Linked DNA regions of Danio rerio. Each later gene encodes a partner of the first gene's protein in a complex. Links are inferred from orthologs where the notes say so. Each region holds a gene or a part of one and is shown on either strand. Other genes may lie near its edges.

Region 1 (5,482 bases):
ACTTTGATGTAACTGAAGAGATTTATCTTTTAAATGCTAATATGATCTGTCACTTTGATCTTTTCTAAAGCACTACAGCTAAACTTTTTCACAATCAGAGCTGATTCACATCCTGATTATGTGTGTGTGTGTGTGTGTCTCTCTCTCTCTCTGCATGCAATGCAACATGAAGGCAGTGCATTATAAAAATCAAAGGTTTCATTTTATCCAAGAACAGTTTGCTTTCAAAAGACTATTAAAACCAGACGACCTTGGTCTGGAGACCACAACATACTGTAAACACAGCATTATTATCAACCTGCAGCTATTTACCAGTGGGCCTACCACCGTGACATATGGCTTTCACTAACATGGGCTGAAAAGACCATCTGAAGTGCACGGAGAAGGGCAGAGAGAGTGCAGCTGATTAAAACTGTGTGTGTGTGTGCGTGTGTGTGTGCGTGCGTGCGTGCGTGTGTGTGTGCGGTGATGTGAATTACACTAAAAGGACATAACGTGCAATGGATTTCCAAACTTTCTCCTAAAATAAAATCACATTAAACCAAACATGTATAACTTTCTTTCTTCACAAAGAGATGTTTTGCAGAATGTTACAGGTTACTTTTTTCAATAAAGGTAAATGCGAGCTAATATCCCCTTTTATCTTCACAAATAGAGGTTTTAAATGACAGGGAGATGAATAGATGATCATTATTTTCCTTCAGGTGAGAGAAAAACCAAGCATTTTTGCTCCGTGTCCACAGAAGATGTGGAAACTATAAATCTGCATAGAGCATTTCACACGGCATAAACTAAAACCATTCAAAGCTTCTGAGGACTCGGTTACAAAAAGCAAGACTGCTTAAATGCCGTTTTAAAAAGATTTACTCAGAAAAAAATAAAAGCATATTGAGGCCACCTACTTGTAACCGGCCCAGGAGTTTATTTACTTTGAGCAGAGGTCCATCAAAAGTCCTGTGCCAGATGCATATTGACACAGTTGGTTTTGGTCAGAGAACCGGATTAAAAAAAAGCTTGCGCAGATTTAATGGGTAGTGAAATGCTAAGCAGAAATAAGATGTTTTCTTATTTTGACTCTATTGTATAAACTGAAAAGGACAATTTAACGTTAATGCAGTAGACTCCAAAATGGGTAGTTGACGTGACATTTCAAGCAGTGACAGCAGCATCCTGTAGTTTGACAGGCTATAACTCAATCGAACTATTTCCTTTCTAACTTTTTTTTGTGCCATCATAGACATTTATGATGAGGTCTGGTCATTTGTCAAACTAGATAAAAATATTTATGCTCACAATCAGTTATTACAGTCCCTACAGCTATTTAGAGTGCTAAAAAAAAAAAAATTATATATATATATATATATATATATATATATATATATATATATATATATATATATATATATATATATATATATATATATATATATATAATTAAAGTTTATATATATATATATATATATATATATATATATATATATATATATATATATATATATATATAAAAGTTTATATTTTATATTTAAAGTTTATATATATATATATATATATATATATATATATATATATATATATATATATATATATATAAAAGTTTATATACATTAAAGTTTATATTTTAGCTGTTGTAACTTGCCACAGTTTTAAGTATATATATATATATATATATATATATATATATATATATATATATATATATATATATATATATATATATATATATATATATATATATATACATACATACATACATACTCAAAACCGTGGCAAGTAACAACAGCTAAAATATAAACTTTAATGCGATTTTGGTAATAGAATCTGAGACTGGGGCTATCTATCACACTTTCTACTTGAGTTAATATTTTATAGTGGTTTGTCTTAAAAGCCATTTTTAGTTTTTTTTTCCTATGGGGAGACATGAAAATCTTCCCCTAAAAACTGCCAGATATTTGAGCATTTTTACCATCATCCTCGAGGACAAAACGATACTGTCCCCTAACGGTGGGGCATGCTGTCACACTGTTGGAGATTAAATAAATAAATCAATCAATCAATAAATGCATTAAAAATCCTTCCCCATAACGTAAGAAGTATTCATTTGATAGTGTTCATATGAGTAAGTTATAGTAAATGGTTATAAAAAATAATTGGTAACACTTTAGAATAATGTTTCATTAGCTAATTAACTAACATTAACTGAATATGAATAATCTTGTAAAGCACTTATCAATCATAGTTCAGCATTACCTAATGCATTATTAAAATCCAAAGTTATGCTTTTTAACATTAGTTACAAGCACCACGTATTAATATGAACTAAAGCTATTTCACTTAAATAACGTTAACAGAGATGAATAAATGCTGTGATAAACGTATTACTAATAGTTTGTTTATGTTAGTAAATACATTAACTAATAGAGTATTATTTTAAAGTGTTACCAAATAATTCGTTAAAAATATATATACATAAATGAATGTAGCCTAATATTTAATATTGCAGTGAAATAAACCCCGGTTTATTGGAGAAAAAACATTTTGACCTCACTAATCCCCATTGTGACAACTTGCCCCGGTTATAATACACATTCAGTATAACTCTATAAGTCAAACACATTGTTGTGCATCACCTTGTCCTCTGTCCACAAAGCTGGTGATGGTGTTGGCCATCCCCGCCTCGTGCAGGACACTGGTATTGACGTCTCCGCTGGTCAGGGACCAGTACAGGGACAGCATGTAGTCATGAGGGATCACTAGCGGGTGTTTGGGCTCCTCGCTGTTCTCCAGCTTCACCGCGCTCTTCATCCGCAGATGGGACGGAGCCGGAGCGATGCTCTTGATCCCGGCAGGAGCGGCACGGACTGCGGCCGGAGCGGAGGATTTCTGCGTAGAAGCTGCTTTACTGTGTTGCTGGATGCTTGAAGGGGATGCGAGGTTTGCTGCATCCTTGGGTACCCAAGAGCGCGCGGCCTCCTTGCGCCCTAAACTGACGCGCGCAGGGTTCCCGTCAGCCTTTATCGGAGGAGGACCGGCGCGGATGCGGGAGATCTTCGCGTTATCGGGGGTGCCGTTGCGCGCCACCGGGAACCGCGGATTGAGTTTGGCCGCTCCGGCGCTCATGTGACCGGCGACGATGAAGTCCAGCAGAGTCCAGAAGCCCAGTAAAAGAGGGAGACTAGTCAGAACTTTCATCCTCTGATCTTCCTCTGAGCTTCGGTGATGGAGAAATGGACAGCTCTACCATGAGCGGGTTTGGAGAGGTACAGATGAAGCTTTGGAAACGTCTGATCGATTATTATGCGCAAAACATCGCCATGAGTCCCGCTCTTCAGAACCATAGTGATCCAGCTCCAAAAGCGGAGATCCAAGATCCTAGTAGGAAAGCGCAGCGTCCTTCACCGAAGTCCAGCGGTTCTGCTTGATATCTTCAGAGAGACTTGTTTAAATTCCCACTTTTTCCAGGAGGGAAGGATGGCGTAATGCGCGCTCTCCCTCGCTCTCTTCCCCAGAGTTTGAACGCTGTCCAGTGAAAACAGCGCACACACACGCACCTGCAGGTGCTCGCGCAAACCTGAGCACAGGAATTGGAAACGGAATTCCAACGCAAACGGGCTTAATTACTCTCTGATGTCATGCTGTCCAGATTTATTCAAGTGCAATATTTCTTCTTAAAGCATGAGTCACTGAATACATAAAAACAACATCTTCGCATTAGGTCACTAAAATAAACCCTCGGTTTTTGAGCCACAAGTCAGATTTGATATGCAAATTATTCATGCATTAAACATCATGTGACAGCTGACGTAAGGATGTTAAAGAGATAGTTCAACTTAAGACAAAAAAAAAAAACCTGCCATCATATAGCTACTCACCCTTAACGTGTCTCAAAGCAGTTAGTGTTTTGTTCTGAACACAAAAGAGGATATTTGGAAAAATGTTGGAAAACTGGTAACCCTCTGAACAATGCTGGGTTGTTGCAAACCAACACTAGGTCAAATATGGACAAAGCCAGCCTCTGGGTTGTAAATGTGTAATTTTAAATTGAACTGATAAAATTAACCCAGTGTTGGATTTGTCCTTATATTTTGGGTTACAACACCAACACCCTCAGAATTTTCTCCCTAATATAGATGGTCAAAGGTTACCAGTTTTCAAAATATATTCTTTTGTGTTCAACTCTAAAAAGTAAAATAAACTCAAACAGGCTTGGAACAAATGGCTGAGTAAATGACAGATGCGTGTCTATCCCTTTAAATAAGATTTTACTATTAATGCATGAAAAAGCATTCATTAGTTTTCCTTCGGCTTAGTCCATTTATTCACCAGGGGTCACCACAGCGGAATGAACCGGCAACTCATGCAACATCCGTTTTACACAGCGGTTGCCCTTTCAGCTGCAACCCAGTATACGAGGAAACAGCCATACACTACAGAAAATTTAGTTTATCCAATTCTCCTATAGCACATGTCTTTGGACTGTGAGAAAACCAGAGCACCCGGAGGAAACCCACACCAACACAGGGAGAACATGCAAACTCCACACAGAAATGCCAACTGACCCAGCTGGGACTCGAACCAGTGGCATTCTTGAACTAACATTAACTGAATATGAATAATTTTGTAAAGCACTTATCAATCATAGTTCAGCATTACCTAATGCATTATTAAAATCCAAAGTTCTGCTTGTTAACAGTTACATGCACCAAATTAATATGAACTAACGCTATTTCACTTAAATAACGTTAACAGAGATAAATAAATGCCGTGATAAATGTATTACTGATAGTTTGTTCATGTTCGTAAATACATTAACTAATAGACTATTATTTTAAAGTGTTACAGAATAATTCGTAAAAAAACTACCCATACATAAATATAGCCTAATATTTAATATTGCAGTGAAATAAACCCCAGTTTATTGGAGAAAAAAACATTTTGACCTCACTAACCCCCATTGTGACAACTTGCCTAGGTTATAATACACATTCAGTATAACTCTCCAAGCCAAACACATTGTTGCGCATCACCTTGTCCTTTGTCCACTGGGACAGTTGGTATTTCTGTGAGGAGTTTGCATGTTCTCCCAGTGTTGTCGTGGGTTTCCTCCTGGTGATCCGTTTTTTCCCACAGTCCAAACACATGTGGTGCAGGTGAATTGAATAAGCTAAATTGGCCGTAGTGTATGCAAGAGTTTTAGGGTGTTTCCCAGTGCTGGGTTGCGGCTGAAAGGGCATCCTCTGCATAAAACACGTGCTGGATAAGTTGGCGGTTTATTCCGTTGTGGCGACCCCTGATTAATAAAGGGACTAAGCCGAAAAGAAAATGAAAGTAATGAATACTTGTGTACGATGTATATTTGAATACATGCATAAATACACGGTCCATAAAATACAAAAATATACTGAAGCACTATATTATGTACATATACATTTTTTTTATAATTTCTATTAAGACATTATAACGAAACAAACATTTTACGCAATAT
Region 2 (4,356 bases), on another chromosome or scaffold:
AACATTCAACTTTGACCAAGCAGTCACAGGTGCAAGTTAAACAAAGCAAACAGCCATCATCTTGTGACTAACACTTGTGACCAACATGTCTGTGAAATTGTAACATCATTAATGGCTGGCTGTGGCCTGCAACACAGCATGACCCATTAAAGGTGATTTTGAAAGAAGCCTCTGTTTTTTTTTTGGGGTTTTTTTTTTCCCCAAGTGTGGCACTTACAGACAAACACTCGAAGCAGAGCCGTTTACAACAAACACAAAGCCATAAGTGCTAAATCAGAAGCATTTCTGTAATATGAAATAGCCGTAAATGATACAGCCTGCGTATGCAAGATATTTGCTATTTTTGTTGAGCTCATCATAGGACAGATGTGGCTTCAATGCTAAGTCTGGCTGCCAATGCTAATTACTGCTCATTTGACCCCTTGACCTTAAAGGTGGGGGAGCCATCATTAAACATTTGCAAGTAATTATTAACACACAGTGCTTAACTGAGGCCTTTTCAGCTGCCTCACCTTATGGCCAACTAGTCATCATTTTTCATCCTCATCCTGTGTACAAAGCTACTATTCATCCACCACTAATGTAACGCCACACTTCCTATTAGCCAGTGCTTTTGCTTCCCACAAGTCTTAGAGTTTCACAGCAACTGTAAGCTGACTGCATTTTATGGTTCACACTTGCAGAAAGGGTTTGCGTGTCTGTAAATATGTGTGAAAGTCTAAAGAACTGTACAAATCCAGATTTTCTTGTTTAATTCTCATTTTTTTCACGTGATTTGTGTTATTATATCAACACAAATTATATTAAGAAGTGCATTGTAATGTACAGATACACTGGAAATATGCTTTTTGTTGTGTGTGATGTTAAAAAATATTTCTCAGTTTGTTTATAAATCCTGACTGGACCAATATTGTATCGTCTGCTCAACTAATAATAGATATTTTGTTCCGCCAATAGGAAAATGGGAATTGTTTGGGGAAACAGATTTAAAGTGACTATGTTTTAAATGGACTGGTGTTTTTGTTGTCATTTAATATTTATGCTTTTCAGGTTAATCTTTGTTTTGATTTGTTATTGGGTCTCAAAAGTTATTTACAAACACAGTAGCTGTATGTTTTATTTTGCGGGAATATTATCCAACAATCTGAATAGCTGCCATATAATAATGAATAGTTTTGAAAAAAAATGAGATAAAATTTTTTTGTCAACTTAAACCATGTTTAAAGCATAGACTGTACGTTTCTAAACAATGCAAAAGAAGCTACAAGTAGGTGTGGCCAACTGTCATAATTTTGTTCACGCGTCATCACACGGACCGCGGGATGTCAAATAACGGCAAAGAAGTGGAGCAAGACATAACACTCGATGACAACGTTTCAGATTACTCTTTTATAGCCAAGAGTCAATCAATCTGTCTGATTCTGGAGTGCTTAACAGGTCTAAAGAAAATTATAAATGATAAGTAATCTTAAGGAAAACAAATACATTTACAAACATGGTATATAAGCATATGATTTTACTTACCTGGGAAGTGGAGGCAACTTGAACAATTTGTGAGCACGATTATGTGCACACAGCATGCTATTTTATCTGATAATTGCAGGAAATAATTCCGGCTAATCAGTCGGAATCAGCTGTGGTGACAAGACAGCGAGTAGCGAGACCTATTTAAGTTAAAAATTGCTAAAAGTTCTAAAATTAATAAAACTAATCTGAAATAAAAGATATTATTTTAAAAAACAAATACTATTTCAAATTTTGCAATAAATGCTATAATACTTACTATAATACAGAACTAATAATAATTCATTAACATCATCAAAAAACAATTGTAATTTTAAAAAAAGTTTGATAATTGTAAATAAGTGTTCATTCAGAATATGTCCACAGAAATCAAAATGCTTGCATGTATGTGGAGACAATTATGTCAATCAAAATGAATCAATTCTACTGATATCATAAAGGTCATAGAAAAAGCAGCAGCAGACCTAACATTTTCTAATAAAATGGACCAAACCTATTTATTTTATAGTACAGCAAACAGTTTGGTCATGGGGTTAAAGAATTAGTAGTGAATTTTTAAAATGGAAATGAATATAGCTTGATATTTTTTATACTTTATAAAGTATTAAAAGTAAATTCTGCACATGTACAGTATTTGTTCTGCACTCCTGCTTACCAAACCAAAAAGCCATGACGTTATACCCCTAAATGAATTGTCACAGTAAGATCAGTAAAACGCTCTAGATAGTAAATAGACTCTGTAGTCTAACTATGCTCTTTGTGCTTCTTTTAAGATCACAATAATCTTCAAACCATACCAAGAATGCACAGACCAGAAGGTCTACCAGGCCGTGACAGACGACCTTCCAGCCGCCTTCGTAGACGGCACCATCAGCGGAGGTGACAGTGAGACCCGCAGCATCTGGATCCTGGAGAAATCTCCCGGTCGGCATGTAGAAATCCACGCTGCGTACATCGGGGTCACCATCATCATACGCCAGCAGGGCCGTTACCTGACACTAGCTGTGCGGATGCCTGAGGAACTGGCCATGGCCTTTGATGAAACGCAGGACCTGCAGCTGTGCATGAACGGCTGCCCCACATCAGAGCGCATTGACCAGGAGGGACACCTCCAGCTGCCCGTGCTTGGCCTCCAGCAGGCTGGCTTTCAGCAGCAGCAGCAGCCCAGGGTGGAAGCCCAGAGAGGCGTCTTCACTCTTGAAAGTGCCTCCAGGAGGTGCAGGGACCAACTGGAGGTGAAGGACATCTATTTCCACTCCTGTGTGTTTGACCTGCTCACTACAGGAGATGCCAACTTCACCACTGCCGCCTACAATGCCCTGAAAGACATGGAGACACTGCATCCCAAAAAGGAGCGCTGGCAGATTTTCCCCAACTCGGCTTCCAGGCTGAGTCCTTTTTCATTGCTTCTCACTGCACTGCTGAGCAGCTTCCTTATCGCTGTGCTTTTATAATGCGTATCGTGTTTTGATAACTGTTTCGAAGAAGAAAAAAATGGCAGACAGTGTAAATAGTCAGTACTCTGGATAAAGAGTACTTTGTATATACTGTGTGTGTGTGTGGAGAATGAATGTTTGCAAACAAACCTTCGTTAGACTGTACATTTTGTGTAAATCAATTTTTCAAGATTGTAGATTTTTGTGAGGTGAATTTTTTGTCATGTGTTTGTCCTCAGGTGAGGAGATCTTATTGGAAGCACTTTATTTTTATTTTGTTTTCTTTTTTTGTTTGCAACTAGGAAACAGTGTTCAACGGAACCAGTGCTCATGTTTTGTGCTACAATCTGAGCTTTTTCTTTCATACATTTCTATGAGTCTCTACAGAAAAAAGGTACATACCTAACCATTTTGCTCTGTAGAACCGTGATAAATATTTTTAATAATGTGGCTGGCGTAGTGATTGTGTGATAGAGGTTTACAGAAGGATTACGTTGACTAGACTTTCACTTTGTCTGTATTTCTTTTTAATCTACTACTCAGTACTGTTGAGTAGTGTTGATCAGCAATTTGAAGAATTCAAGCAAACGCACAGGAAGGTTGAAGTGCACTTAATTCAGAAATCATCAACCATTTGAATTCTGTATTGGCAGTTAGGTTCTTTTATTAAAAAAGTGACAATCAAAATTATTTTTGCTTGGTAAAAACTACCTATTTTATGTAAAAACTAACAAAAAAAAATCACCAGTCCTAAAGAATTTTTAATGCCAGGTTCAGATTACATGATTTCTCCCTGATAAAATTGACAAAGAGAGTGATGTATGGAGTAGGCACCACTCCTCATCCACCATCCACTCATCCAACCTATCCCTTCTAGTAACAACTGTGATTCACAAACAACTTTCAGCCATTATGTTTAGTGTTCCTTAGACATTCTAAAGAGACATTCAAAATATTTTCAGTGCCCTTTGGTGGTTGGCTATAGGCATGGGGTAGACATTTTTTCTCCACAATGTCTGACTTTGAACCATAGGAGCAATGAAGGAAAGGTTTGAGTTCAGATGCCTTTGTTTGTTAACATTTACATTAGTCAGTAACAAGTTCTGCCTTCGCTGTGACATCATACATGCCTTTTAAATAGTCAAAATCACAACTAAAATGAACCAACACAACAGACAAAAACATTGTTTAGTCTGAACCTGGCATTAAAAAAACACCACAATAATATGCTAAAAGCTTTATCCGCTTTCAAACTAATTTCATAGTGAGCGTCTCTCATTGAGTGGACTAGAAAATGGACATTGCGTAAGTGGGCCACGTTTCATATAGTGACACGCAAGAAGATGCGGCAAGATAACATTTATTCCCTTTGTCAAACATTGACTATCTGCTCAAA

The links. The genes of interacting proteins can lie anywhere in the genome.
Region 2: the proteins of gdf5 (region 1) and rgmb are in contact, whole or in part, in a crystal structure (PDB 6Z3J), measured with the Homo sapiens proteins. The link is inferred for Danio rerio from reciprocal best matches to the Homo sapiens genes GDF5 and RGMB. Residues at the interface, in NP_000548.2 of Homo sapiens: Leu396, Arg399, Phe435, Pro436, Leu437, Arg438, Ser439, Asn445, Val448, Ile449, Leu452, Ser455, Met456; in NP_001353437.1 of Homo sapiens: Gln57, Thr60, Phe63, Val64, Thr67, Ser68, Leu70, Asn71, Tyr88, Leu103, Val104, Ser107, Ala108, Leu110, Gly111, Ile112, Asp114, Leu115, Gln118.

What each region holds. Positions count from the first base shown.
Region 1 is NC_133181.1:55,375,908-55,381,389, forward strand, and holds part of gdf5 (growth/differentiation factor 5), read right to left. Parts: intron 3,681-5,482; 5' UTR 3,190-3,680; coding exon 2,628-3,189; intron 1-2,627. UniProt on the Homo sapiens protein: Growth factor involved in bone and cartilage formation. During cartilage development regulates differentiation of chondrogenic tissue through two pathways.
Region 2 is NC_133180.1:56,369,323-56,373,678, reverse strand, and holds part of rgmb (repulsive guidance molecule B precursor), read left to right. Parts: intron 1-2,297; coding exon 2,298-2,978; 3' UTR 2,979-4,356. UniProt on the Homo sapiens protein: Member of the repulsive guidance molecule (RGM) family that contributes to the patterning of the developing nervous system. Acts as a bone morphogenetic protein (BMP) coreceptor that potentiates BMP signaling. Promotes neuronal adhesion.